4 linked regions of the Notamacropus eugenii genome follow. The protein of the gene in region 2 binds, or shares a complex with, the protein of the main gene of each other region. Links are inferred from orthologs where the notes say so. Each region holds a gene or a part of one and is shown on either strand. Other genes may lie near its edges.

Region 1 (6,496 bases), on a different chromosome or scaffold from region 2:
GACAAGACTTGCCAAAAGTCTCATGGCCTCCGAAGGCTTCAAGATTCTGTAAAGAAAGGAAGAGGGGGCTGGCAGTTAATCTCTGAAGAGGAACACGAGACAGATGTGACTGCGTGCAGCAGAACAAATGGGGGACAGATCAATAAGGTATAAGTGATGGTCAACAGAAGATTTGGGCATTGTTCCCCCCAAGCCTCTTCCTTTGTTTTCTCATCTTTAAATAGAGGCTAACGCTTCCAGTCTGTCTACCAAAAGATCCTGCCACCTCACCACAGCATCAGCCTAGAGAGCAGAGGTTTTATGAAGGCCCTTGGTTCCTGGTGACTGAGTTCCCAAACCAGGCCACAGCAGGCACTGTAAGGAAGACAGTCAGAAAGCCTCACGGAGGCCTGATGCTGTGATGCTGCTGCTTGATGGAAAGACTAGCAGGCTTTTGGGAGGTCTGGGAAGCAGGGACCTAGTACTGTCCTTGGGCTTTGTGCAAAGAACAGTGCCATAAGCAGCCCCCACAACAGAAAATAAATATTTATTGTAAATAAATAGTGTTTGTTCGAAGACATAGTGTAAGAAAATGATACCCCAAGCTATTGAGTGTTGTTGCCTAGTCCCTTCTGAAGCTCATCCCCTACAATGAACGAATGGGATGAGGTCCGGGTTTGGGGTTAGTGGAAGAAAAACACCCTTGTGAAATGCAGGTCCACAGTGCTTCCAGGGACACACGCACAACGGGCCTAGCTCAAGCTGGGGGCCCCGGAGACCTAGACAATCCAAACTCAGTGCTCTGGTTGTGACAAGAGGGAGTGCCAAGTAAGGACCATGTGCAAGGGCCCAGGACAGGGCTGTGTGCTCTCTGCTATCCTGAAGGAGATGGAGAACATATTCTGTAGGCTGGTCTAGAAGATACTGCCGGGACCAAGTCAAAGGGCTGGCCTCCTCAAGAGCATGTGTCTCTGTGGCACCAGGGGGTTGAGTCACCAGGGCTCAATTAGGCCACTTCAATACGAATCCATGCTATGGGCAAGAAGAGACCACAGTAGGTTAAAGACCAAAGAGCAGTAGCTAACCTCACCTATCCACCGCTGGCACCTCAGCCTCCAAGATCTCCCAGCCCCATATCCAGCCTCACCCCGTCTCCCCTACACAGGGCCCTCCTAGAGGGGAGGCCTGAGCCCAGGCTGAGGAAGTAGTACCTGTTGAAGGTGGTGAGCGTGATCAACTCAAGCACCAGCTCTAAGCCACAGAAAATGAGCAGAATGGTGCTCATGACAACTTCAAGGCGCAGAATGTAGGTCTGCAGCAAGAGGTAATAGGAAGCCATCATGGCTGACGGAATGGTCATGGCCAAGCTGATCCCAAGGGGCATCATCCTTTGACAGAGGTTCCCTTTTGTAGCTGTCAAGACAGGCACAAAACAGGCCCTGGGGATCACTTCCAGTGGCCTGCCCTGAGCTTACAAGGCTGGAGCAGGGAAAGCCACGGAGGCTGCAAAATGGGTGGAAGTCCAGGTTTAGAAGTCATGCAGGTCTGTGGTGATGGGAAACTTGGCCTAGAAGAGTTAGGACTTTGGGTTCCTCCCTCCTCCTCCAAAGGAGCACTCGGGACCATCACAGCAAGGACATATGCCCCTGACACCCAGTGCCCACCGCAAGGGGGAAGGCCCCGGGAGAACCACGTGCCCCCCCGGCCTCCTCTGTCCAGAGGAAGGAAAGGGACTGTCCAACCCTGTAACCTTCCCCTGGGCCACAGAAGGGGGCCAGGACCCTTTCGGTCCCCTGCTAAGGTGCGGGGATCAGCCACTTACCAAAAAAGAGGCGGATGATTTCAACGCCAAGGTAAAGAAAGAGCATGATCAGGTCCAGAACTAGGTTGGCTGTTGGGTACGGTAACAGAAGACCTGCGGGGGCCAGAACGAGGCTGCAGCAGGCGGCGGGGGAGGGGTGCCGGTCTGACACCTCACCCCTGCTGTGCGGCTGGACAGGCACAGCACAACCGGGGGTCGGCGCCGGTCCTTCAGGCTCTCCAGGCAACACTTTGGGAGGGGCGGGGCCGGACGGGCGGGGCTGCTTGGGGGCGGGGCCAGACGAGGGGCGGGGCGACGTTCACCCAGGGCTCTGGGGGGTCAGGGGCGGGGCTTCGCGCCAGGGAGGGGGGCGCACGCCTCACCTTTGTACATGAACACGAAGAGCTCCAGCAGGAAGTAGGTGGCGCTGTACCAGCCATTGAGAAAGAGCAAGATCTCCAGGGAGATGGACGACAGCCGGCGGTCTGGAGGGGGAGGCCCGAGGTTGGTGAGCGGCTGGGCCGCGTCCCCCCCGCCTCCCGCCCCGGCCGGCCCCCGCCCGCCCCGGCTCGCCCGCGTTCACGGCCGCGGCCAGCGCACTCCTCGCTGTGGACCCGTGGGGAAACCGAGGCCTGGGCGGGGGTCCCCGAACGCGGAGACTCACACACCTCGGGCAGCTCACCTCGCGGTGCCATCGCCACTCAGTCCCCATGGAAACTGCTGGCGCGGCGCCTGGGCTCCCGGAGACCAGCTCGGCGCCTGCCGGAAGTGAGGGGCGGGGCGAGGCGGCGCCCGCCCGGAAGGGCCGCTCTAGCTGGCGGCCGCTCCAGCTCGGTGGGGGCGGCCGCCGAGCATGCGCGAGGCCTGCGGCGCTGGGCCCTGGCGGGGGCGCGGCCTCTGGGGGCGGGGCCTCCGCCTGGCGAAGGGCGGGGCCTCCGCCTGGCGAAGGGCGGGGCAAGCGGAGGCGAGCCCTGCCGGGGCGCCCACGTGAGAGGCCGAGGGCGGCTCGGGGCGGGCCCCCTCCGGGCGTCAGCTTTCTTCAGTGCTCCCGCACAACCATCCTGGGGGACGGGGCTGCTACTGAGGCAGACAGCAGCGAGCCCCAAGATGCCCTCCTGCGCAGGGCTCAGACACTCCCTCCTCTCAGACCCCCCTCGCATACCCCCACTTCTCCCTCCCTCTGGAACCCACACTCGTGCCCCCAGAAAAAGCCCCCTAATTGTTGAACCTCTCCCTCTCCCGCGAGTGCGTCCCTGCACCTCCGTGCACACTTCTCCTGCACATCCTGCACACCCTCCTAGCCTGCCTCTCCCAGCTCCGGAGTCATCTTCCCCCAAATCCTCGTCGGCCCGTGGCCCCCTACTACCTCTGGGACCAAATGGAAAATTCTGTGCTTGGCATCTAAAGCCCTTCACAGCCTTTACAATCTACACACTTCCTGCAGCTCCTTGCCCAAGAGGCGCTCTCTTCCTCTTCCATGCCTTTTCCCTAGCTGTGCCCCATACCTGGAATGCCATCCCTGCCTCCCTCTTCTAGCTTCCCTGACTTCTTCAAGTCTCAAACCCCAGGTTCAGTGCATAAGTCCGTCCTGGCCTCCCCCTCCCAGTGCCTTCTCTCTGGAACTGCCTCCCAAGGACTCTGCTCTGTAGAGGCTGTGTCCTGGGTGATTGGCAGGTAGAGTTAGGGCTTGAACCCTGAAGGGCAGGGACTGACTTGTTCACTTTCTTTGTATCTCTTCCATAAGACAACATTTATATGTAAATGTATACAAAAGATAAACCAATGCAAGGTAAGGACCTACAGAAAAGCATTTCCACCATTTTACAGGTGAAGAAACTGAGGCTCTGAGAAGCTGCCCACAGTCACACAAGTAATGAGCGCTAGGACCAGGCCTTGAATCCAGGCCCCCTCCCTGTGTTTTAGGCCCATGCCAGACTCCCACATGGCCCTAGGGCTGACCACAGAAACAATTTGTCAGACTCTGGATCTAGTCTAGGAACAAATAAGGCAGCTGGAGAAGGCTGAAAATTCATTGAATCCAAACTGCTCATGTTCATCTCAGGAAAACGGAAGAGCTAAGAAAGGAAATGGCCTCTCAAAGGCCGGGTCTACCTATAGGGAAAGGGGATATGCAGGCCACCAAGGGAAGGAAACCAGGCATCACCACCAACAGAAACAGCCTGGCCTTGGAAATTTATGGCAAAAGGGATACATTTATTACCTATTTTAAAAAAGTACAAAAGGGCTGTAGAGCATAAAAACCTCCAAGCCCAAGTCTCTTAAGTGTGCCAGTGTTATTCTCTGCATGCCCAGGCCTGCGGTGGGGGGAGAGGGAGCAGCCAAAGGGGGCTCTTAATAAGGGCTCCTAGGTGGAACTTCCTGGTTGCAGGAAGGGAGCCAATGGGCCCTCAGGCTCTAGGGGAAGTGGTACAGAGGGGCCGTGCTGTGTCGTGGGCAGCAGGCTGCGCAGGAGACCTTTAGTTAGCATGCAGGTGAGTAATAGGGAACATGTGCCCGCCTTGCCCTGGTCATGGGCCCCCAATGATGCAGCAGGCAGGGTTCCCGCAGTCTGGCTGGTGCAGAGGGGTCAGCTTCGCACTCTGGTGAATTCCTTGCGCAGCCACAGAGAATCCTGGTAGAACCGTGGATCACCCAGGCGGATGGCTGTCCTCTTGTAGAAGTAGCAATAGAGAACAGCAGCTGGGGATAAGAATGGGAAAAGGGCCCTGAAGGGTACTCCCCTTCAAGCTGCTCCTCTGGGGACATGACATGGGAGATAGTGGGATCAGACTCCCCAGCACCACCAGGTGAGGGGTGGGAAGGGGAAGGACCACTGCAGGGGTGATGGGACTTATGCCACTGGCTGACTCTAGAATGAAGGACCTGCTGGGGGAAGGTGATGTGGTCCTTACCCAGTCTCTGAAACACAAACAGGGTTTGAAGACCATCTGTCCAAATAAAATGCTTGGAGTTTTTCCAGCGCAGGTTCTAAAGGAGAGAAGCAGCCAAGGTAAAGCCAGCATTCAGATGTGGCCCTTGCTCTGTCTGTACTTCTGACCCCACACAGGATGCACCACCACATGGCCCAGCTCTTTCCCATGCACCAACCCATTATGTTCTTAGGCCCAGTCCTCCCACTGACTGGTACAGGAGCTTGGACCATTGCAGCCTGGCCATGCTGATAGCTCCCAATCCCGGGGCTCACCACGCTGATGTTAGCGTAGACAACCAAGCAGCAGGACCCAGCCATTGGAACTCCTGTGCTCCCCTGGGATTACAGATGGGGACATTTTCTTAACAGACTAACCAAGTTCTCTTTTTCCTGGGAAAGGATGATGGGGCATGGCCCTTCCACACATAAATGCTTTGTCAAGCCCTTCATTGCTTCCCTTACCAGGAAGAGGCATTCACTATGTATGAGGTCCAGGCCTGGGACTCCTGTGTGGACAGGGTCAGCCTGTTTACTCCTCTCATCTTGGTCTATGCTCCTGGTAGCCAAGGGCTCAGGTGTACTCGGAATTAAACAGCTCGGCTCAGGAGCTTTACAAAATAAAAGCAGAACCTATTTTGGCTTCAGCACGAAGATCTCAGAAAATCCTCTTATCTCCCCTGCCGGGCAGACAGTACAAGGCCAGGAGCTGTGCCAGCTTAGTGCCACGTCACCAGCATGAGCTGGCTTCCTACTTGTGAGCTCTGCTCCTCTCCTGAGGGCTGGAGTTTTGGCAATCCACACCTTCCCCTCAGACTACCTCTCTGATGAGCCAGCCCAGACCAGGGTATGTAGAGCTGGGCCTGGAATTAAGGAAGCCAGGCTCAAACTCTGTCTCAGATCTGTAGCTAGCAGGGTCATCCTGGGCCAGTCATTTCATTTCTCTCAAGCCTCTGAGACAAAGGAAAAAGCCTCTGCCAATGCAGACTGACCCTCTCTGCAACTCATCATATTAGGGAGCTCCCCCGAGTCTTACTCAGGCTCACCTGGCCAGGAGGCCCCTGAGGAAGCCTGCCCTGTAGCTGCTAGCTGCGCCAGCCAGCGCACTCCCACCCCACGTCTTTTTTGCCTTCTTGAGGGACTCGCGGTTGAGACATCCCAGGAGGATTCTCCACCCTACAAGATGGTGGGCTCCCCTCACAATTCCATGTATGGTGGGCACCGTCTGTCCAACAGGCCTGATGTTGCATGAGCAAGCTTGGTTGAACTGCTCTTTTCCTCCTTTTTAAATCTCTGTTTAATGAGAGGTGATTTCTTTGGAAATAAGGATGATGTAAAAACAAAAAAATATCATTAAATAGAGTACATTTCTAAAAAGAAAGAATTAGAAGATGGGTGTTTGTTTCTGGGAGATGACGGAAGTCCTTAACAAAACTCTGCTATTTTCTGGAGGTCCTTCTATTCAGTTCTGAGCCCAAATCAGTCTGCACCATCATACACATATGCACACACACACAGGTACATATATACATACACATATATATTCACACGTATATGTATATAATAATGGATGGACTCTGTAGATTGTCCACATGACGGCCTATCACAATAGGCAGTCTTTATCCACTTGCTTTTTCCTGTGTGGATGGTTACATCAAACTTTTTTTGTCACTATGGATCTCTTCTAGGAGGCCCTGCCATGTTATGGGCCTTCATGTGACCATTATGGTGTCATCCATAAACTAGAGCATGTGGAAGACTTCATTATAAGAAATCCCTCTTCACTG
Region 2 (7,761 bases):
CTGACTTCAGCGCTGCCCGTTAGAAGATTCGGCACAGACTGCTCTCTCTACTCTCTTGTCTCTAGGCTTAAGAGAACCTTTCCAGGGCCTTGAGTAAAGTTCCTTCAGGTAAAGAAAGCGTTTACAAACAGGGTCCTCCAGCCCGGGACACTCAGATTGGCACAGCAAATGCCCAGAATTCTGCCTACCTGTGTACAACTGGGTGGGGGTTTGTGAATTTTCCATGCCCTCCTCTGTGTTTGCTTCTGAAAAGAGAGGGGCACAATTCCAAGTCCTTTTGATCATTGACAGTGTGGGCTTAGCACAAATCTGGCCCCTGATTGGGAAGCAGGAAATACAGGCGGCTACCCCGACTCTCAGCACTGATTTCAAGGCCTATTTCTGTGCTCCCTGACTAGCTATTCAGCTTAGTTTGCAACTAAAGCTTGATGGAAATATTTGAGTATATTATGTAGCCTCAGGCCTTTTTATCTTCGCTTGAGGGGGAGGGATGTTTGATGAGATAACACACTTGTAACATCGTTTTTCTTGGCAATGATTAGGGGCCTTGTAACCATCCTCCAAAAGGTTACTCTTGTTATTTTGAAAAGACACAAAGATAATATGTTAGATGCAGTTTTACATGACTTTCTTCTGTAGGAAAGGTGTTATGAAGATGTGTGTGTATAGTATATATATAATTATGTGTGTATTATATGTCATATTATGCAGATTTATGTGTGTTACATATAATACATATGTATTTTTACATAGGTATACATCAGACAACATCGTGGGGCAAATCACTGCATATACAACTCTTTGTACATATGTATAACAAACACATATCTATTTTATCTATATATAGATGTGTACATCACATATATTTACATATAAAGTGACTGTTTACAGGGAAATCTGTAGGGACTGGACCAGCCATTTTATTGACATAGGGAACTTCTGAGTGAGGAAACTCCCTCTACCAATGTAATTGTAAAGTCTTTAAAAAGTCCTAAAGCCTTGGGTCATATGGCCAGTATGTGCCAAAATTAGGACTTCTTGGGTCTTCTTGGCTTCAAGGTCAGTTCTTTATCCACTCTACTACATGAGTGGATTATATACTACATATGAGTATATGACTTCTATGTTCTAGCAAAATTATTATATTTTATTAAATGTATTTGTGTTAGACTAATATTTTCCTCAAATATCTCTTCTTGAAATGGAGGTGGCATTGGGTTGTCAAAGGCTGGCCCAAAAGAGCACAAGGCATCATATATCTAATCCAAACTATGAAGTATTTAATTAAGCACCTACTATGTGCCAGACTGCTAGAACTAGGGATGCAACAACAAAATGAGAAGTAATATCCTTAAAGAGAATACATCCTATTGGGAGGGAAGGGACAAGAGAGTCCAGGCCTGTGATTTCACTGGTACAAGAAATTCTTCCTGAGGAATCCTCTCTACTAATGCAGATCAGCACCTACTCTACAATTTATAGTCTTAGAAAACTGACCAGGGCCCTGAGAAGTTAAGTGATTGTACAGGGTTACACAGCCAAGGTGTATCAGAGGCAAAACTTGATAGATCTTCCTAACTAAGGGATACAGCATGTAAGCAATATAATAAGGATAATTTGAAGAGGAAGAGAGAAGGCATAATCAAGAAGATCAGGAAAGATGCCCCATAAAAGTGGCACATGAACTGAGCCCATAAAGGAGCTTTGGATTCCAAGAGGCAGAGGTGAGCAGAGAGGGCATCCAAACCATGAGCTCACAGACAGAAGATGGAACTTAGTGTGCAAAGAACAGTGAAACAAGTAGGTTGATCTGGTTATGCGTTAGGGCACACAGGTGGAAGCACTATGTAAGCCACATGGAAAAATAGGCTAGAGTCCGATTGTGAAGGCTTTAAATGGCAACTGTACACCTGTGTTTATACCTTGTTTGAGAGACAAGAGGGAGCCATTGAAGGTTCTTAAGCAAGAGAATGACAAGATCAGACTTGAGTTTTAGGAAGTTTTGCATATGCCCCAGGGTTAGAATGCATGTTTCATGTCTGAGCACCAGGCTAATTAAGTTGGAAGACTCTCATCACTATGTTGGCTGAAGGATGATAAATTATGGGGCATAGTAATTCCTGAAGATCATCTCCTAAATTGTGGATGAAATAAATACTCACCCTGATGAAATTATAGATCTTTGGGGTACTGAAAATGTTTATGTTATCTAAATATTATTTTGAAGGGTCCAGTCATGTGATTTCATTAACATATGGAACTCCCATTGTGACAACTCCCAAGAAAGAAGTATGCATCTTCTCTGTAACTTATAGTCTTATATAAGAGTTATTTGGGAAACTGAGAGGTTGTGATTTGCCCAAGGACATACTTTGTGTCAGCAGCTGGATTTGAATCTGAGACTCTCTGTTCTAGACCAGTTCTTTATCCACTATGCCTCTCCTAATTATTACATATGATGTTAATAGAAAATTATATATTCCAGATATGAACTAGGTGCTAAGCTTTTTCTTTAGAGTTATTGCCAATCCTTGCTATTAAGTGATATGAAGTGGAAGAAATATTTTTTCTACTGGTTCATCAATACAGTGGGTATTTACTATCTCCTATGTGCCTATGGCACCCTTGAAACCGTTTGGGTGGAGGAAACTCATCAGGGATCAGGGAGAAAAGGATAGCTCTGGAAGGAGTGGAGAGAAAAATGAGCTGACATTTTCCCAGGGTATACCATGAAATCTGGATTTTCAATGAGATATGAATGATGATTCTATGAAAAAAGAATTTACTACCAGATTTAATTTCCTCTCTGAAATATTAAATGTGAAATTATGCAGGTATAAAAAAGAATTGTGAGACAATTTTCAGTATTAAAGTAGGTTTCATTTCCCCATCTTGCCCTAAAAAATTTTTTTATGGTTTTACTTTCCCCCTTGTTCTCTCCCCCACACCAAATTGGAGGTGGGAGTGGGGAGAAAAACAAGATCCTTGTAATAAATATACATAGTACAGCAAAACAAATTTCCACATTAGCTGTATTCAAAAATGCATCTTATTCTTCATCTTTAGTACATCATCTCTGTTAGGAAGTGAGTACCTTGCTTCATCATGAGTCTTCTGGAATCATGGTTGGTCATTGCATTTATCAGAGTTCTCAAGTATTCCTTCGAACATTGGTTCCTTCGAGATTTTCCTGATATTTTTCCAGTCTGAGGAATACTTATAGATTCTATCAACACTTATCAGGAAAATAATGTTCTGTGTCCAGATTACTTAGGGAATCCCAGCCCTATATCCATCTAGATATATGGGAAAATGGAAAGTATAGTGAATATAAAAGAAAAGGGAGGACATGGGACAAGAAGGGGGAAAGGAAAGACTAGCTTGGTAATAAGGATCTTTCAGGATTGGAATCTCAGCAGGTAGAGGAAACACATCATGACAAAAGACAGGAGTGCCCTAGGAACATATGTATAATCAAAAATTGATTATTTTAGAATAAAATTTCCTCTGAAGAAAAGGAAGAATTATGTACAGATTTCCACAGATGAGATGAATTAAAGGAATGATGGACAATCCATGGTGTGGGTGTGAATGATGCCTAAGTGGGTGTGGGTGTGAATGATGCCTAAGTGGGTGTGGGTGTGGTTGTGAGTGACACCTAAAGCATCTGGGGAAGGTTCTCTATTATACTTTATAATATTCTAGTTTCCCCCTACCACTTTTCTTTCATCTCACTCCTTTCCTCTTCCATATTTCTCTCTTTTTTTCTTTTACTAACTTTTATTGATGCCTCTTGGCATTGATATCTCCTTTCTCCCATTGAATTCTCCCCTGTTACATGGGGGTGGGAGAGGGGGGGAAGTTAGTAAAACCAACCAACACAGCAACCACATCTGGCAGGGTAAGCAACATTCTGAATCTTTAGTCATCTACCAAGAAGACAGAAGTATGTTAGATTAGTTATGTTAGTTCCTTGAAGGCAATCTTGGTCATTACAATCAGCAAAACTGCCTTCCACCTTTGTTTTCAATTACATCATTATAGTCACTACGTATACTGGTCTCCCAGTAATTAGAATATTTAGATTCCTTCAAGGATCAGTGCAGGTGTTACCTCCCACAAGAAGTCTTTTCTGATCCCCTTAGTTTTTTAGCATTCTCTCCTTCCTAAATTATTTTGGATTTACTTGTTTGTTTATCTGTTGTGTCCCTCTTTCCACACTGCAGTAGAATGTAAGGCCCTTGAGGGTAAAGAGGGGTCTTTGTCTCCCTAGCACCTTACATAGTGTCTTGCGCATAGTAGATGCTTAATAAATATTTGTTTATTGGAATTGAACGAAAGCATACTGTGTTTAGTAATCAACTAATTGTCTGTTTGGTTGAAACATAAGAACAGCGAAGTGAAAGGAGGTTATGGTGAGATTTGGGGGAGTGAGCCTAGTACCACCATCCTGGAGCAAAAAGGGGTCAACAAAAGTTTTTGAACAGAATTCCATGACCAGATATCTGTGCATAAGAAAGGATAGATTGTAAGGGAGAGAGAAAGAAAATGTTAGGAAAACATTTGGGGATGATACTGTAATGATCAGGTAGATGAATCTGTATTAGAATAATAGGAGAGAAGGAAGAGGAGTTAGACATCAAGGGAGATTGTAGAATTAATTTTCAATTTAAATGAGGTAAATTTAATAAACCCTAACCTGTAGCTTAGCTGGGGTTCTACTGGAACAGATGATGATCTAGCCCTTTGATTTTATAGTATTCTTGCTAAAGTTTCACACACATTCATTCTAAGCCATACTCAGTTCCAGCTTCCAAACAACAACACACAAACAACACATGATGCCTGATTTCTTTGTTTTCACTTTGCTGCTCAGGGATCCAGAAATGAGTCACAAAGAAGAAAAAGTGAAAATAATCTCAGAGGTAAGTAGATGTTTATATCATTGTTAGGGTTCTGTATGAGTGAAGAAATCATATTAATAATGAATATCTATTTCTGCTGAATCTACCTACTACAGAGTATACTATACTCAGGGTTATTCACTTTTGGGGGAAATGGCCTACTTTTAAGTTAGTTTAGATAATCAATAAAGCAGGAAATCAAGCCCTGATTTAGTGATCACTGATTTCTAAATTATACTCTCACTGAAAACTTTACAAACTTCACGACTGTTAGAGCTGGCGTCAGCACACCCAGGTGGTGTGGTGAGCATTTGAGAAACAAGGAAAGAATTCTCAATTCTAAAACATTTTAAGATTTCACAAGGATCCAGACTATTAAAGCACATTATTGTCATTTTCAATAAAAAACATTCCCTGTTCCCAAGGAGTTTAAAATCAGCCTGGACTTTAAAAACTTTTGTTTCTCTTCATTTCTTAAATACTGGAAGCCAGAAATTGTACTTGCTGCATGACCTTGGACAAGTCAGTTCCCTTCTCTAGACCTATTCCCTTATATGTAAAATATGGGGGTTTAAGTCTAAGACCCATTCAAATTGTCATGTTCTTGGTTCTGGAGAGGAGATTCTCCTTCACCTCCTCTTCTTCTTCCCCCTCTTCTTATTTTCCTTCATCTCCTCCTCTTTCTTCCTCTCCTTCTTGTCCCTTTCAAGACAACTGCAAAATGTTCTTTCCTGCTCTCTATGGGCCAAATGTGTTCCCTAGCAAGTTTGTTGCTTTCCCATTATGACTCCTTTTCTGTCAACAGAATCAAAGCCATTTTCCTATTTACTCCCAGAAAGTTTTCCTGCCTCACTCTGAAGTGGCTTCTAGGACCTGCCTTATAGAATTGTAGTAAGGATCAAATGAGGTGAAAGGATCTAGTGCTTTATAACTAGAAAGTGGGTTCTTCTTATTAATTCTCCAAAACTACACATTTTCCCTACCAGCTAGGTTGGTTGCCCCAGAATCTGTCCTGAATGAAAGGACCAGAGCAATTTTTGTGGAATCTGGATAAACACTTGTAGAGCCAAAGGCAGGTGGTGAGGAGATTGGCCAAACATCTACTAGAATAAAATTTCTGTGAAGCCACCAGTGATAGGAGGCACCATGGTAGAGTGGAAAGATCACTAGCACTGTAGTTAAATGGCTTGAATCAAACCTTATTCTAAGCTTAACATACGTACATACATATGTATATACACACAAAAATGTATGCCTGTGTATGTACATACATGTATCTACATATGTACATATTTGTATACACGCATGTATATTCAATAATCATTCAATAAACATTAAGTGCCTTCTAAATGTCAGGTACTGTGCTAAATGCTAGGGATACAAAAAAGAGGCAAAATTCAATTACTATCCTCAAGGATCTCACAATACAGGATCTTGGGAGAGTTCTAACATCCCTGGGACTCAGTTTCCTCACCTGTAAAAGGAAAAGGTTGGAGTAGATGAAGTCTGAGCTCTAGATCTCTGATCCTATGATCTGATATAGAGTGATAAATGAATCTATATATTTACATGTACATATAGTAGATAGCTATATGGATATCTATGGCAGATATGGAGGGAGGGAGGGAGACAGACACAGGGACAGAGAGAGACAGAGATAGAGAGAACAAGGATACAGTATGGCTTTATACAGCCCTCTGAATAATTTAAAAAATCAAGCAGAATTACAAAATGTTAGCAACCAAAGGGACCTTAAAGGTCATGTAGTCAAACTCTGCTATTTTACAGATGAGGAAACTGAGACTCAAAGGAATTAAGTGATTCTCCTAAGATTACACAGCCAGTAAGTGACAGAGGCAGAATCTGATCACAGTTCTCTGACTTCAGAGTCTTTCATATTATGTCATCTGGTGCCAAGAATGATGGTGACATTGATGATGGTGGGGTGTTGGTGATGGGGGTGACAGTTGTGTTCAGTAAAGGATCTAGTCTCCTATTTCCTAATGAAGGCTAACAGAATGAAGTAGAGGGCCTGAGCCTTTTCATCTTCACTGTGATTTTGTTTTTAATATTTAAAAATACAGCTCCAGATCTTTAATTGTTGAATTGTTTTAAATTTCAGCAAATAAACCTATCACACTTCAATTTTTTCTTTTCTTTTTTTTCTTTTCTTTTTTTTTTTTTTGACAAAGGAGTTTGTTGAAAATGAAGGTGCGGAGGCAGAAAAACTGAAGAAAAAGTTGAAAGTTCAAAAACACAGAAGAAAAAAACAGGTAGGATTGTCACCATTCTGATATTTGTCTTTTGAATTGATGTTTAACTTTAGCAATGTTGTAGCATCAGAAGGGTACCGGCACAGCACATGGAGTCTTCTCTCACTTTCCATTGCTTTTCTAACTGAACCATCTACTTTTCTGGTCGTAAGTCTCTTTCACTTCTTTCATGCAGGTGATCTTCGCTAGGAATAGCCTGTTCAGACCCGCACCATAACTTTCTATTGCCCTTTGAATGATCTGCAATTTTGATTCTATGACAACTATACTGAATGATTTATAGTTGTACAGCATTACCAGAATATGTGAATACATGAGAGATCTGTGGTTTTGTCTGCTTGAAGAATCACCCTCCACAAATCCAGATACCTAGCTATCTACCATACCCCTAACCCTATATGCTACTGGACCCCTAAGCAATCTGACTGAAGATAAGTCTCAGGGAATTGTCTGAGACATACAGAGGCCTCATGACTTTTCCCACATCACACAGTTAGTGTCAAAGGCTAGGTCTGAACTGAGGACTTGCTAACTACAAGTCCAGTACTCTATCCACTATGGCACATTGCCCCTATCCTCTGGAG
Region 3 (8,003 bases), on a different chromosome or scaffold from region 2:
TTTATTTCCAAAGGTATTTGTAATATTCAGGGATAGAATAATGCCATGCTTGATCTTTCATCATATTTACTTTCACTTCAAACCTAAGATTCAGAAATTTAGAACTGGAAGTATCTGAGAGCTCATCTAAGCCAATGCCTTCCTTCTGTAAACGTGGAAACCACTACTATAGTAACGAACAAAACTGGAACAAAATTCAGACTCTGAGGCTTCTTGTGATCATATCTCATTGGCTCAAGGTGCTAAGCTCCCTTCCATTTTTTCTTGTCACCATTAATCTTTCCTAGGAGAGTGTCACTTATTCTTACCTTCTAGATTGGCATGTCTCACCTAATCCTGTTGGAAAAAGAGAAGAGTTGGGGTATACTATAAAAATGAACTCCCTAGTGGAGACAGGGTACTATTTTCCCATTTCCTCACAATAACTCCATTTTACACAAAGATGAGATTGAGAATGAAAAATGTTAAGTGACTTTTCCAAGATCACACAGCTAGTAAGTGTTCAAGGGTCCCCGGTTTGTGCACCATGACACGTCACTCGGATGGTAGTAAGTATTGCCCATTTCACAGATGGGAAGAAATTACATCCGTTCAGGGCATGCCTTACAAACAATAAAGAATATTTTCTGGGAGCTAAATGCAGGACATTCTAACTCTGATTTACCTAATGGATGGATACTGGGCACTGTCTTTCCCCAAGCCCATAAATAACGAAGGCCTATTCCATCCATCTGCACCCCAAACAATCTAAAGAAGCTAGTCTTAGCTTCTTCACTCAGGGTTCCAAAGCCTCCTGGTCCTCATTTGCATATTGTCCCAGGAATGACGTACATTGTCACTCGCATAAATCAGCCCCGCCCCTTCCTGGGATTTGGACCGTAATCATCGAAAAAGGGGCACCAGTAACTTTAAGGTCCTGGAATGGATGGGAAAACACCAGGCTCCCCTTGCGGCACACTCCTCTCTGCTGTGTCTTCCCTTCCCCTGTGTATGGCCAACATCGAATGTCCCCTGCAACTGGTGTCACCAGCTTTAGTTATGGTACAAAAGTGGGGTTTTATTATAAAATATTATATACAATGTCAATGTGCGAAAACTCAGGGGGATAAGAACACTGCCAACAGTCCCCCAAACCCTGTCGCTGGCAGTCTTCCCAGTTATTTTTCCAAGGACTGAGGGCTGACTTCAAAGCCTTCTCGGTCTTCTGCCCCACGTTTGTGGGAAGTGGTTCAGAAAGATTTTTTCTTTAACACGAAGACAGCGATGACCAATATTACTTCAGTGGAAGCTGGGAGAACACTGCAAGAGGAGGGAGGCGTGATCAAAGACTTTCTCGTAACAAAGACGGCCCAGTCCCAGCACTGACACCCTAGTCAGGACCAGCCCTTAAACCCAGAAAGCAGGAAAGCGTTGCCTCCTCGGGGGCAGCCTCTCGGAAACCTTGGATAGGTGGCCCCTCGTGCCGCACCTGCAGAAGGCGAAGATGTACCAATAGACGTAGCACTCCCAACCCTCGAAGACGAAGAAGGCCAAAGACACCGCTGCGCAGCAGTGCAGCGCGATGGCTTCAGGAGAGTCAGGGAAAAACAATGGAACTACATTTCCCAGCAGGCTTGGGAGAAGGGGGGGTGGTACCCAGGCAGGACCCGTCCTCGGCCGAGGAGGGAAGGGAACCTGCGCTTACTCTGCCAGCAAATTAAGCCAGGTTAGGAAGCGGAGTTCAATTCTCTTTCCTTCCTCGTCTCCCCGACCCCTGCTTATGTCACCACCATGTTAAGAGGGGCTCCATCTTGCGCCAAGCTCAAGTTAAACTTCAGAGATCCACACTTCGCCCCCCCAACCCCCGAGGCCTAGCACTCTTCCATTTGGGGAGCCACGCCACTGGCCACTGGGGGGAAAGAGTAGGTGGAAAGGATACAGAAGAGGCTCTGGGTGGAGTTGAACATGGACACGCCTGAAAAGAAACCTGCTAGTTCTATCAGGAAGAGGCCCAGGGTAATGGAGAGAGCAGTGACCATCCTATGTAGGGATAAAGCGGTCCTGGAGTCTACCCTTCGCAACCAGGGGCCTTCTCCCTCTCCAGGATGGCTTGACTCCTCCACCCCACCCCAAAGTGGAGGAGGGGAAAGCCTCCCCCACTGGCCCGCCCATCCCCTGGGTGGCTCACTTAAGGTCCTCCTCCTCATACTCCTCCGAGGTGAAATCGGGAGGCAGACTGGCCTGGACGTTGATGTCCTAGGAAAGAAGAGCAGGAGTAAAACAGGGTTTTTAAGCCAGGATGGAACAGAAACGGTAGCTGCAGGGCAGCCAGTGTTTGTCCCTTCCCCTTCTTCCCACGGAGCGTGGAAGCTACAGAGTGGGCCTTAAGAAACCACCGGTTCATAAAACATGCTGGGGAGGACACAGAGGTCCATGGACCCGCAGTCCCTAAAGTCACACAGCGTAAAGACTAAACCCTAAAGCTAGATTTCCTGACCCCTACGTAGGACCGGCTCGGGATGCTCCGGCCTGCGCTTGGGGAGGGCAGAAAGAGTAACTCATTAAGGGGGTAAAAGTTGGGGGGGGCGGGAACCTTTCTGTAAAGAAAGGATTACGAGTTGCAGGCGCAGGCGCAGGAGAAGCTAGGGGATGTAAAGGAAGAGGAGTCCCAAGCGCAGGCGCAGGCCGGGAAAGCGGGAGCTCAGGCGATGATCACCGGCACGGGCGACTTGCGTCACCCGCTCAAACCCTGGGCCGGAGACAGGGGGCCCCGGGAAAGCGAAGGGAAAAGGCTGGGATGGCAGTTAGGTTACCCGCGTCCAGAAGATGGTGACGACGATTACCAGATGAGCTAGCAACGTCAGAAAACGAGAGGGCACCAGCCCAGTGATCCGCCCCATGCTTTCCGAGAACATGGGTCGGCGGCCGTAGATCCACGATTCCTTCCGCACCTCGCCGCCGCCTCTCAGTTGCCACGGACAACCAGGGCATTATTTTTTTTTTAACCATGACGGTTGGCTAAACTACTCAGGAAATCTCGTGAGAAGTAGCAATGCACTGAGAGGGATTGAATTTAAAGGGACCCTCCCGTAGCTTGCAGCAAACCGCCGGCCTTAGCGCAGAATTCGTGCCTTCGCTTGCGGGATTGGAGATCCTGCGACCTCGAGGCCCTCCAGGTCCCTGGGTGCGGCCTTTGGACTGACAAATCCTTTTATTATCTAGGCCGCAGATTCCCCACCCTTGGCAGATTCTTCCCTGGAAACAAGGGTGCCTGACCTCCCCCCCAAACTTGTCCTTTTAGAATTTATCCTGTAAATAGCCATAGGGCTCCCCCCTCCATAGCATCTTCCCCTGGAGCTGCCGAGCCCGTTTCCAGTCCTTCTCCCCACGTTCCCTCTCTCTTTACACCCTTGTCACCCTAATTCATTTACATGCCGTGGTTACTGCCCTCTTCCTACTCAGTTCCCGAAGGGCTAGGAACCGCCTGACCTACACCTACCCCAGAATCCTAGCAGGGGGTCTCGTTCTGGGGTTTGTTTAAAGAGTGCCGAAGGAAGGAATATTACGCTTTCCCCAAGTATCTGGCAGAGTTCAGAGCTGGAAATTCGGGAAGCAAAAGACGAGACGTCCCCTGCTTTAAGGAATTTGCCTTCTAATAGGTGATGACGTTATGAATGAATGAATGAATGAATGAATGAATGAATGAATGGGCGCTAAGTACTTTGCTAAAAGTGCTGAACGCTAGCTGTGCGAATACAAAAAATGAAAACAGTACCAGATCTAGAGGAGCTTACGATCTTTTTAAGATTGCCTTTTCCTTTTTAAAAAAACAAAAACAAAAAAAACCAGGACACCTTTGTTGTTGTTTCATTCATCTGACCTTCCCAGTACTCACCCACCTTGGGCAACTTAAAAAATCGTACAATCGGACCAAAAAACAAATTGTTCAATATATATGTACATAGTCTGGCGAAACAAATTTCACACATTTAAATGTATGGCTTTTTAATGCCATTTTAAGTTCATCATCCCTCTGTCAGGAGGTGAGTGTCTTATTTTATCTTCATTCTTTGGGATTGGTGGTTTATCTTTGTAGTAATCAGAGTTCTAAAGTTTTTCAATGTTGTTTTCCCTTACTGGTATTAACAATACATAAATTATTCTCTGGTTCTGATGGGGATGGAATCTGAATACATAAAAGGAGAAGATCATGTCTTTGGGATCTGGACCCTCTAAAGGAAAAGCCCTGGGGCTTTTTCAGGTGGCCCACATCCCTGGTATGTGCCTGGGGCACTCAGCCCTTCCAGGTCTTTCTCTGTTACTGCTGAGGTTCGGGGTGCTGCGTACCCCAAAATACCAACATGATAGGTCCTGCTCAGATGAATTCAAGTCAAGCCTTTTTTAAGCCAAAGTAAAACAAAGTTTATTAATTCTTTAATCTTTAATTCGCCATATTGGGTTGACTTTTAAAGAGCCTAAGCATCTGGAACACTATATTAACAAGCGGACCAGATACAATCTCAACTAGACGGAGTCTGAGCTGGATTGAATCCGAGCACTTCCATGGAGGTGAGATGGAATTTACATATAGAAAGACCATGGGAAAGATCTAGAGGTGGTCTAGTAGTCTGGGAGGAGGGTCTAAGGAGGATCTTGATGGGACTAGGATAACTAGTGATATAATCCAGGATGGGAAACAGCTGGAGGCAATTGGGAGCTATCAGACAATGGAGGGCCAGGGTAGGAAGCAGGTGGGGCCATCCAGAGGTAACAAACTATGTTACCTTGGGTAACACTGAGGGTCGGCTAGATTAAGGGGAACAGATATGAGTATGAAAGGCCAGATAAAGTGGGAAGATTCAAGGAGGTTCCCAGAGTCTGTACCACATCATTACCTCCCAGTCACCCCAGACTACTTGGTCTCTCTTAGATCCTTCCCACAGTCTTTCTGTGTATAAGGTGCATCTTGCCCCCCATTAAATTGCTCATATTCCTTAAGAATCTGTCCCTGTTGAGGCTTAGGGGTTCTGAGACCCTGAAATAGCAACACGCTGGGTCCTGCCTGAGTGAATTCAACCCAAACCTTCTTTCAGCCAAAGAAAAACAAAGTTTATTAAAGATCCACCATATTGGGTAGATTCTTAAGGAATCTGAGCATTTGTGATGCTTGTGTTGAATCTGAGCATTTGTGCGGCTGTGGGTCAGATAGAATCTGAGCCCTTGTGATGAGGGCCAGAATGCACCTTGATGGAGTCAAGATGGATCTTATATACAAAAAGGCTGTGGGGGGGATTTAGAGGTGGCCAAGTAGTCTAGGGTGACTAGAGGAGGGGTTTACAGAGGGTCTTTATGGGAATGGCCTGGTCAGTAGGCTGGGGTAATTAGAGGTCAAACACCAGGAACTAGGAGAATAGGATTAAGTGTGGGAAGTAGCTGAAGACTACTTGGAGGTAGGAGACTATGGAAGGCTGGGCTAGTTTAAGGGTAACAGATTTGGGCATAGTAATAATGGAAGGTTTATGACCTCAGGCAAACACTAGAGCAAGTTGGAAGACTCAAGGAAAGTTCAAGGGGGCTTCTAGAGCCTATACCCATCTGCCCCACTTGCATTATCAATACAAAAGTCTCATATTCTTTACGTTTTGTCAATGTTCATATTCAGTGTGGCCCTCTTGATAATACAAGTGTCACAATAGGGCAGATTCTTAAAATCTTGCCCACCCAGACCATGTTCTAATAAGCCTTATTTCTAGCTGAAAGAAGGCTTGAGTCTAATTCATTTGAGGCAGGACTCTAGAGTTGTTTGCCCTTGAATTTCAGGGTTCCAGAAGCCCTAGACCTCAACAGTTCTGCTCACTTCACTAATTATCAGTTTAGAGAGGTCTTCCCAGTTTACTCTGAAATCATTCATTTCACTATTTTTATGGCACAATAGTATTCCATACATTCATATACCCCAATTTGTGTAGTCACTCATCAATAGGAGGACCTTCTCCTTCCAATTTTTGTCTTCCATAATAGAACTGTAAGGGATGATTGAATTTTGTTTCCATAGAAATTACATGAAACCTAAGAGGTTATACTGATGGCAAAACTGATTGTAGTGGAAGGGCAGTGGGGGATGTTGGCCACCTGTTAATCAACATATCTAAAAGCAGACTCTTCTTCTTTTGTTCTGAGAAGGCCTTTGTCCAGTGTATCAAAAACTGGCCAGTTGTGGTTCTCCAAGGATGGGGTCCATTAACCCAGATAACTGTCTTAGATAATGTGACTCTTTCTCATCGATATCCTGGGCCAATGTTCAACTCACAGCTTTTGTCAATTCTCTTAGCAATTGAGAAAATTCTTTTCTCATGCTATGGTGATCATAACATCTGATGCAGACAAACTAGGAGGATGTCCAGCCTAATTGCCGTGGGCTGCCCGGGTCATCTTACCTATCTCCAGGTCTTCGGTGGCCAGCCAGATAAACGTATCGAGAGAAGAGACTTCCAGGGTCAAACAGAAGTTGTAAGCTTTATTCAGGATCTTAGTTACATGTCAGCATGCAGGGCGAGTTCTTCCCGAGGAGAAAGGAACCCCACCCCCAGGCTTTCCTGTCCCCATTTAAACTCTCCCCGCTGCATAGTTCGCTCATGGATACCATGCATGCTCTCATCCCCTTAGCTAATTAACAAAAGGGTGTGCTCAGACCACAGACCAATCTCAAGGGTGAGATGCTTTCCCCAGCAAGTTTCCACTGAGAAGAGGTGGAAAAACAAGAAAGCTCGAGTCTCATACCTCAATTCTCAGCTGTTCCCTGGGGGGCCTCATGAGAGCTCGAAATCAAGAAGCCCTCACTTTTACCTGCCCAAGGGCGTTCACATGAGAACTGAGCTTACACCTCAAAAGAAGGAAACTAGAAGCATTTATTAAATAAAGTATAAAGAAAATGAAGATGAAAGGGAAGGGATTGAAATGTGGAAATGAGAGCTGTAAGCAGGAAACCATGTGGGGTTGGGGTTTAGGTGTTTTCAGATAGACTGTGAACCTTGAAATGCCTGACCAATGAGATGAAAAGGGAAATACTAATCAGAATGGGTTATGACTTTGTAATTGTCTTGAAGTGTGCCTGTGTCTACTAAGGTACCCTTTTCCACAAAGGGTTATAGGCAGGTCACCCATCCAAAATGAGGTGAAATAAAAATGTTTTTTTTCTAAATTCACTAATGGTCAAATGGAATTCTTGGTGAGATGATTATTTCTCACATTTGTACTGATATTTGTACTGATAAATGTTTGTACTGATAATCATTTCAAATCATTTGAACCTCAACAAGGCCAGAGGCTGAACTAATCAACCAGAAGAAGCACCTTGGCCTAACATTTCCCTTCTTCAATCTCTGAGTAAACCCAGAATTCCCCATCTTGTGTCAACAACTACAAGGGCCAAATGAAGCTAAGAGTATTCTTCTGTTTATGGCCATTAAGGATGAGGCCCTTAATTCAAGACACTATCTTGAATAATGGGACTTTTCTTATGGACACATACTACATATTATATCATGTTAATGGTAAAGAAAACACTAATATCCTGGGTTGTAATTTCAATTGACACTGTGTCAACTCTTATACTGTATTTACAATTTATTCAATTAAGAAAATCCCTTCCTCATACTATGGTTAAATATATATGGCAATTATAAATTTGAGTGACATAGACATTCTGAGTTGAGGTTGTTCCAAAATATATTTAATATTTCTCATTCTTTTTATTAGTCAGAATTTAAGTTCTGGCTCCATGCATGTATTCTGCTAGCCTTAAGGGAATAAACAATATGAATTTACATGTCACCTAGCCTGTTTGCCTCTTTTAACCAAACCTTCAGGTGGACAGTACATATAGATCCTTCTTCTTTGATTTCCTTGGGATGGTCTAATAATTGTATAATTGGGTCAAAAGATATACACAATTTGATAGCTTTCTAGGCACAATTCCCAATTACTTTCCAGAATACTGGATAATTTCACACCTCCACCAGTGC
Region 4 (7,333 bases), on a different chromosome or scaffold from region 2:
CTGATGGTTCCATGTATGGATGGTGGGGTGCTGGTTGGTGGAGAACTTGTGTTTTCTTGGTGTTAACTGTTAGGCAGCAGAGAATCAATCTAGACTGTTCTATCTCAGCCTCAGAGGTTGCACTGAGTGCTCAATTATCTGTGAACAAAAAATCATGCACTAACCCTCCCTCCATTTTAGTCTTGGCTTGCAGCCTTTTCAAGTTAAATACTCCACCCCCAGGGCGGTAGCTGATCTTGGTGTCATGTTCAATCTCAACAAAGGTGTTGGACAGCATGGCTGAAAACATCTTGCTAAAAAGCATGAGAGCAAACATGCAGCTCGGCTTTACTCCCGTGGTACCTGGGAAAGTGAGAGAGCATTGCCCATTATCCAGAACCCAGGCAAGCATGCCATCATGAGTGTGACATGGAATGATGATGAACTCCTCCACTCTTCCACTCTAACGTACTTGACCATTGGTCATCCAGTATCTATCGCCTCTCAAGGAGGCATATTTCATGTCTGGAGAATTCTAATCAGTAGGAAGTTTGTCCTGAAAACAAGCCTCAACTTACTTTGCCTTTTTGCAACCTCATCTATTACTCTGGGCCTTGAGCTGAGGTAGCTCAGTGGATTGAGTGCTGAGCCAAGAGGCAAGGGGACCTGAGTTAAAATCTGTGCTCAGATACTCAATGACTGTGTGATCCTGAGCAAGTACCTTAATGTCTACCTGCCTCAGTTTCCTCAACTTCTCCAGACCAAAGAGAACACCTCTATTCTCTCTGCTACATAACAGCCCCTGTGCGTTCTCTCCCAGCCTAGCATTTATAAACTGTCTCCAGTCTACTTTTCCACACTTACTGACCCTTACTCTTTTTCATTCTACTTTCTAGTCAAACTGGCTCATTCCTCAGCATGGGAGGTGCTCTTTCATCTTCTCACGGTGTCTCTTGTGCTTGGAATGCATCCCTGCCTCCCCTCTGCCTGCCTGACTCCCCAACTTGTATGCAGGCACAGCCCAGGGGCCTTTCCCTCTTCAAAGTTTTTTTTTAAATTTTGGGTTTTTTTAGGTCAACAAAATTTTCCCCAGCATTTATCACCATCCCTCTGCCCATCTCATATGTTATTTCCTTTTTATATGTAAAGAGCATGTATCTACCATTGGGGCATCTGGCTCTTCCATCCTGGCACTAACACAGGAGACTCTGGATGTTATATCTGAGCCAGCCAGCAGGTGGAACCTGCGAGCCTGAGCTGAGAGTTAGAGTAATTGTGCATGGGTGGACTGACATCAGCAGTGGACATGAGCCTACGGGGAACTGAGCAAGCTCAAGCCCCAGCTGTCTCCGGCTCTGCTCAGCTGGATTCTTTTCAGCATTGGGCACATGGAGGGACAAGACAGCCTTGTCAGTGTCCATCTTCCACATCCCTTGAGGGGTGTCTGTCTAGCCGAAAACTATGAGAGTTTCTATGCCAATGCACATGCTACGAGATGGCTCTAGCCCCAGCATCCATGGGCAGCAGCAACTTCCAGGGATTATTCAACTCTTGTACAGGTGAAAGGACTTTGCATAATCTAAACCGAAAAGTGAAAGATACAGAATGAGAATTATGGGGCAGCTAGTGTGAAATTCCCCCACCCTTCTCTTGCGTCAGGGGAAGTGGTTTTAAGATGAAGGGAAGGGAGAAGCCAATCACCTTCATCCCATTTCAGACCCAGGTGATTCAGGGTCAAGTAATCTCCATCTGTTAGCCAGCTCAGGAAGCTCCCCAGGCTTCTTGAATTACTTACAAAGTCCCTTCTTCCTCTGACAGGTGCCATCTCTTCCTTCCTGCTGTGCTGGACTCTTGCTTAGGCCTCTTGTTCTCCAGGCCAAGCACCATGGCCTTCTTTGAAAAAGTCCCTATATGGTGTGACATTAGATAACCTCAGGAAACTGCCTTCCAATTAAATGCCCAGAGGCCATTCTAGCATTAAAAGACTGCAGGAAAACAATAAGTGTTGGCTGAAACAGGCTGCTTCAGACAGAGGTGACATAGCTATTGACCTATCTCCAATGTGTTTATCCATCCACACCTACATAACTATCTTTCTAACGATATCACCTCTCTCTATATCTATCTAATCTATTCATCCATCCATCCACATCGATCTATAGATAAGGGGCAGCTAGGTGGTGCAGTGGATAGAGCACCAGTACAGGAGTCAGGAGGACCTGAGTTCAAATCTCACCTCAGACACTGGACATTCACCTTGGGCAAGTCACTTAACCCCAAATGCCTCATCCTGGGTCATCTCCAGTCATCCTGATGAATATCTGGTCATTAGATTCAGATGGCTCTGGAGGAGAAGTGAGGCTTGTGACCTGTACAGCCCTCCCTCACTCAAAAAACAAAAGTCAAGTGCAAGTCATGTCATTATTTTTCTGATGGCATGGTCTTCTTTGGCACCGAAGGACGAACACACATCTATAGATATCACCCATCCATCCATCCATCTCCGATTTATTTATCCATCCACACCTACATATCTATTTATCTTTCTATTGATATTGCCTCTCTCTATTTATATCTATCTAATCTATCCATCTGTATGTAAGGTGAATTTTAGTGTGTGTAAAGTGAATTTTTGTAATTATTTCTCAGAGTCAGTTTCCCAGGATCCATAGCCATAACAATCTCTGGTTCCCAGGTACTAGATATGAGTCCCACAGTTATGGTTCGAAGTGTCTCCACCACGCTTGCGCATGGTTATATAATGGTGAATAACATAAACATCCACTGCGGCTGCACAGTGAGATACAGGGATGGGGCGATGGAAACTTGTGAGGCTGCTACTGGCAATCTGCCTTCTTTGTCTGCTGGCCTATAAAACAGGTGGTCACTAGATAGTGAATGGGTAACCCTTAGTGTTGAATGCACAAGCTGGAATGCTGTGTGTGCCTTGATCAGACCCCATCAAGGTTTGGAGGGAATCTGTGTTTGTCTCAACTGGCCCCCACTGAGGCTTGGGGATTTAGGGGACGCACAAGTTGTGCCTGTCCCGATTGACCCCATAGAGACATAGGAGTAGTTGCCCCCGCTTCTCACCAGCCCCTGTGAGAAGGGTGATTAGTGAATGCTGTAGGAGTTTGTGCTCTTACTATCAGCAACTTCTTCAGAAAGAACTAGACTAGAATAAAGTAAGATTATTAACCCCTTTTTAGTGTCTTTCCTGTCTGACCAAATCAAGAGTGAACCTGTGCTAGCAGCCCTCAAGTGTGCTGTGTTTTCATCTGTCTTACACCATCCATCCACATTTATCTATTTCACCCAAATACCTATATTCATCCATCCACATCTATAGATATCACCCATCCATCATCTAATTTAATTATCCATCCACACCTACATATCTATCTATATCACCTCTCCATTTATATCTATCTAATTTATCCATCTATCCATATCCATATCTATGATCTACCTTCATCCATCCATCCACATTTATCTATCTCATCCTCTATATACTTATATCTATCCATTCATATCTAATTTATCCATCCATCCATCCATCCATCCATCCATCCATCCATCCATCCATCCACCCATCCAACCATCCGTCCATCCATCCATCCATCCGTCCATCCATCCATCCACCCATCCTTCCATCCATCCCTCTACACCATCTGTCTGTGCACATGTGTAATCCCTCAGCAGAATGTAATGTCCTTGCCTCATTTTTGTCCTTCCTCACTGCCTGGAACACGGCAGACACTTAATAAATGTATGCCGATTGATCACTTCCCAGCTCCAGCCAAATATTGCTTCAGGGATTGCTTTCTTTTTGACCTTGTAGCCTCAAGCACTTTATAAGAGGCCTGAAATGGATGGGATTTCTGGGGGTGGCTGCACTGAGAAGAAGGCAGTTTTCAGCAGGACTGACAGGTGCTATGCGGGAAGAAAGTGGTTTTACCGAGAGTGGCAGGACAGGGTTTTCCTCTTGGTTGTACGGAATAAGAAGGTGGAAGGAAGGTGAGGGACACACTCAACATGGCCGCATGCTTAAGCCCACCTGCCACACTTAACATGGCACGCGGTCACTCTATTCCACCCCCACCCACTCCCGGCTAGAACGTTTTATGAACTAGAGCCTGTTAGACATAGTCTCTTCCCAGCTCCTGAACCGCAGACCAATCAGCGCCCAACAATGGGGTGGGCGCAAGGGATCTTGGAAGGAATCGCCTTCCGAAAGGACCAATCAGCAGTGTGCTGGGCGGGCACACACAAAGGGAAAGGGAGCTCTTTCATTATCGCCCCGCCCCATTCTATCTGAGGCCCAATCAGCGGCGTGCGAGGGGAAGGCGAGAGATACCTACTGGTCCCATTTCCTCTCCGACGACCAATCAGCGACGCGAAGGCGTGCACGAATGGTGCGCAGAGAAGACCGCGAGCTTCTGTTGCCAGAGCAACGGCCGGAGCAGGCCCCGGAAGCCGTTCACCCTGCTGACGGTCCCGAAATCTTCAGGTTTCTCGGGTAAATGAGGGGTAGGGGAGGCGAGGGTCGGGCGCCGAGAGACGCGAGTACGTGTTCCTGTACAGTTGTGCTTGCCAGAGAAACAGCGCCTGCGCAGAGGCTGGAGTCATGAGCGTTTTGCCTCGCTCCGGGGATACTGCGCATGTCTATTTGGAAGGAGGGGGCGGAGTTATAAGCCCTAAGGGGAGGAGCTATGGAGATGGGCGGAGTTACCGAGTCTGTAGCTAATAGCGCATATGCCTACATGTATACGTACGTATATATCGTTTTAAGTTTTGCAAAGCGCTTGCTTTACAGATATTATCTAATTGAACCTCAGAACAACCATGGAAAGTCTGTGCTATTATTATCCCCATTTTGAAGTTGAGGAAACTGAGGCAGAGGTTGTGACTTGTCCAGGGTCACTCAGCTACTAAGTGTCTGAGGCTGGATTTGAACCCAGATCTTCAAGACTTTGGGTGCACTGTTCTATCCACTCAATTGAAATCATGATGTGCTCATTTTACAGATGAGGAAACTGAGGCCCAGAGACATGTCCAAGGTCAGGCAGCAGTTTGGTCGCTGCTGAACTTCATTCTTTGTAGTCTTCTGACATCTCTCCTCTCCACTGGGCCATGGCTGAGGTCCATGTCATTGGGCAGATCATTGGGGCAACAGGTTTTTCTGAGAACAGCCTCTTCTGCAAGTGGGGTGTCCATACTGGTAAGTATGTGGGGATAGCATGGCCTCATCTGTTCACATCTCTGGGGAGTCCTCTATACCTTCCCCCCACCCCCGGGGAACTTGACCCTTGACCTTCCTTGTGCACTCAGCTGGAGAGAGTGTGGAACAGAAGGGGAAAGTCCTGAGGTCTTCCTCCTGATTCTTCAGGACCTGTACCCCAAATTGTATCTCCACAGCAGAGTCTTTGCCCACTTAATGGGTGGGTGGGAGATCCTTCAACTCCAAAGAGGCCTAGACCCCCCTCCTTTCCTTCTTTCCTTGGGGACTGTGAGAGTCTTTAGTGGGGGGTGGGAGTGTGGGGATATGAGGAAGGTTTTCGTCCTACATGGAACTTACTGCCCTTCTTTTTGGCTAGACTAGATTTGGAATTATAGAGGCAGAAAGGGACCTAGAGATTTCAGCCAGGAAGCTCTTTTTACAGTAGAAGAAGCCAAAGTCTAATTAGGTCACTGATGGGACCAGGACTTGAGCCCAGGGCTCTTTCCAGTGCCATAGCGGCCCCTCCCTCTAACCCAACAGAATCCCTTCTTCTAGTCCCTCCCTCCCTCCCCTCAGTGACCCTTTCCTTTCCTGACTGGCAGGAGGAGCATGGAAACTGCTGTCCGGTGTTCGGGAAGGCCAGACACAAGTGGACACCCCTCAGCTGGGTAGCATGGCCTACTGGTCTCACCCAATTGACCTGCATTTTGCCACCAAAGGCCTACAGGGTAAGGGCAGGGGTCCCAGGCTCTGAGTAAGTGAGCTGGGAAGGGACTGCTCCAATTGGACAGGGAGATGAGGCTCTGTCCAGTTCAGGGCACCTAGTAGTCCTTCAGGCTGGACCCTGGGGTTGGGGAATCCCACCTGGACCCCCAGAGACTGGGAAGGTTGAAGAGAAAGACAAAAGAGACTCAGAGATGGTCTGTGTTGTTTATTAGACCTGACAGATCTGTCATTTGTGGGTGCTCCTGGTCAGAATATGGGCATCAGTGGTTGGCGGGAGCAGCTTAAGATGGCAGAATGCCTTTGGGGGACTGGGAGTGGCTACAGGAGCCTGAACAAAATCAGGGAAGGAAGACAGAAACCCAAGCCTTGGGAAGAAGGGCAGACTTGGCCAGCAGAAGACTGAGGTAGACCCTCTCCTCTCCCCAGGCTGGCCTCGGCTCCACTTGCAAGTGTGGTCTCAGGACGTCTTTGGCCGCTGCCAGTTGTCCGGCTATGGCTTTTCCCACATTCCCAGCAGCCCCGGCATCCATAGCCTTGACTGTGTGACATGGCGCCCCTTGGGTGGCTGGCGGGAGCAGTTGGCTCGGGCCTTCGTGGGTGGTGGGCCCCAGCTGCTACACAGTGATGTAGTCTACAGCGGGGCCGACCGATACCGGCTCCACACAGCAGCAGGGGGCACCGTGCACCTGGAGCTGGCCCTGATCCTGAGAAACTTTTCCCGATATGGGGTTGAGTGCTGAGCACCTCGGCCAGCTCCCAAGCCCTTATCCCTCCATCCCCCAATTCTCCATCTCACTTCCTTCCCTCCCCTCCTCTTTTCTGTCTGTCCCCGGGCTCCTGGCCTCAGCAATCAATCAACCAACTCTTACTGAACTTTTATTATGTGCCAGGTACTGCCCTAAGAAAGCCTTGGGGTACCAAGAAGGAGCAACATGGCTCTGTCCTGGGGCATCCATGTCAATGGGGGCGATTTCATGTAAAGAAATATATGAATTGGTCTATACAAGATTCCGACAGAGTACAAACATCTCATTTCTATCCCTTCCTTACTGTCAGACCTGAGTCCAACCCCTTGTTTCACCAGAGGGGGAAACTGAGCCCAGGGATGCCCTGGTTGAGTGACTGAGCCCCAAAATGTCCGAGTTCAAGGGAGTCTTAGAGACCCTGGATGCCATCTAGTTCATTCCACTCTTTGGAAAATGGGGACACCTAGGTCCCTAAAGTGAAAAGCGCCTACTTCCAGGGACCTGGAGCCCGGGGTCCAGCCATTGCAGGGCCTTCTTAGACCCACTTCCTGGACTCCTTCTGGGCCGGGTGGATGATGTTCCCCTTGTGACCCTCCCCTTCTGCTCTTTCCCCTTTCCTCCCCTCCTTGGGTCATTCCCCCCAGAGGCCAGGCTGTCTTTT

What was found.
Region 1: CC2D2A (region 2) and TMEM216 share a complex: the UniProt entries of both Homo sapiens proteins name them as parts of the tectonic-like complex. The link is inferred for Notamacropus eugenii from reciprocal best matches to the Homo sapiens genes CC2D2A and TMEM216.
Region 3: CC2D2A (region 2) and TMEM107 share a complex: the UniProt entries of both Homo sapiens proteins name them as parts of the tectonic-like complex. The link is inferred for Notamacropus eugenii from reciprocal best matches to the Homo sapiens genes CC2D2A and TMEM107.
Region 4: CC2D2A (region 2) and B9D2 share a complex: the UniProt entries of both Homo sapiens proteins name them as parts of the tectonic-like complex. The link is inferred for Notamacropus eugenii from reciprocal best matches to the Homo sapiens genes CC2D2A and B9D2.

The regions. Positions count from the first base shown.
Region 1 is NC_092873.1:12,956,737-12,963,232, reverse strand, and holds TMEM216 (transmembrane protein 216), read right to left. Parts: upstream 2,633-6,496; 5' UTR 2,476-2,632; coding exon 2,463-2,475; intron 2,266-2,462; coding exon 2,164-2,265; intron 1,895-2,163; coding exon 1,802-1,894; intron 1,393-1,801; coding exon 1,191-1,392; intron 1,012-1,190; coding exon 996-1,011; 3' UTR 511-995; downstream 1-510. Other genes in the region: TMEM138 (transmembrane protein 138), read right to left, coding at 4,368-4,480, 4,693-4,768. UniProt on the Homo sapiens protein: Part of the tectonic-like complex which is required for tissue-specific ciliogenesis and may regulate ciliary membrane composition.
Region 2 is NC_092877.1:67,984,448-67,992,208, forward strand, and holds the start of CC2D2A (coiled-coil and C2 domain-containing protein 2A), read left to right. Parts: upstream 1-4,755; 5' UTR 4,756-4,838; coding exon 4,839-4,925; intron 4,926-7,096; coding exon 7,097-7,177; intron 7,178-7,761. UniProt on the Homo sapiens protein: Component of the tectonic-like complex, a complex localized at the transition zone of primary cilia and acting as a barrier that prevents diffusion of transmembrane proteins between the cilia and plasma membranes.
Region 3 is NC_092873.1:77,717,850-77,725,852, reverse strand, and holds the start of TMEM107 (transmembrane protein 107), read right to left. Parts: upstream 3,011-8,003; 5' UTR 2,895-3,010; coding exon 2,793-2,894; intron 2,236-2,792; coding exon 2,168-2,235; intron 2,020-2,167; coding exon 1,919-2,019; intron 1,566-1,918; coding exon 1,469-1,565; intron 1,300-1,468; coding exon 1,230-1,299; 3' UTR 1-1,229. UniProt on the Homo sapiens protein: Plays a role in cilia formation and embryonic patterning. Requires for normal Sonic hedgehog (Shh) signaling in the neural tube and acts in combination with GLI2 and GLI3 to pattern ventral and intermediate neuronal cell types.
Region 4 is NC_092876.1:29,863,948-29,871,280, forward strand, and holds B9D2 (B9 domain-containing protein 2), read left to right. Parts: upstream 1-4,323; 5' UTR 4,324-4,498; intron 4,499-5,006; 5' UTR 5,007-5,112; coding exon 5,113-5,200; intron 5,201-5,802; coding exon 5,803-5,928; intron 5,929-6,352; coding exon 6,353-6,666; 3' UTR 6,667-6,934; downstream 6,935-7,333. UniProt on the Homo sapiens protein: Component of the tectonic-like complex, a complex localized at the transition zone of primary cilia and acting as a barrier that prevents diffusion of transmembrane proteins between the cilia and plasma membranes.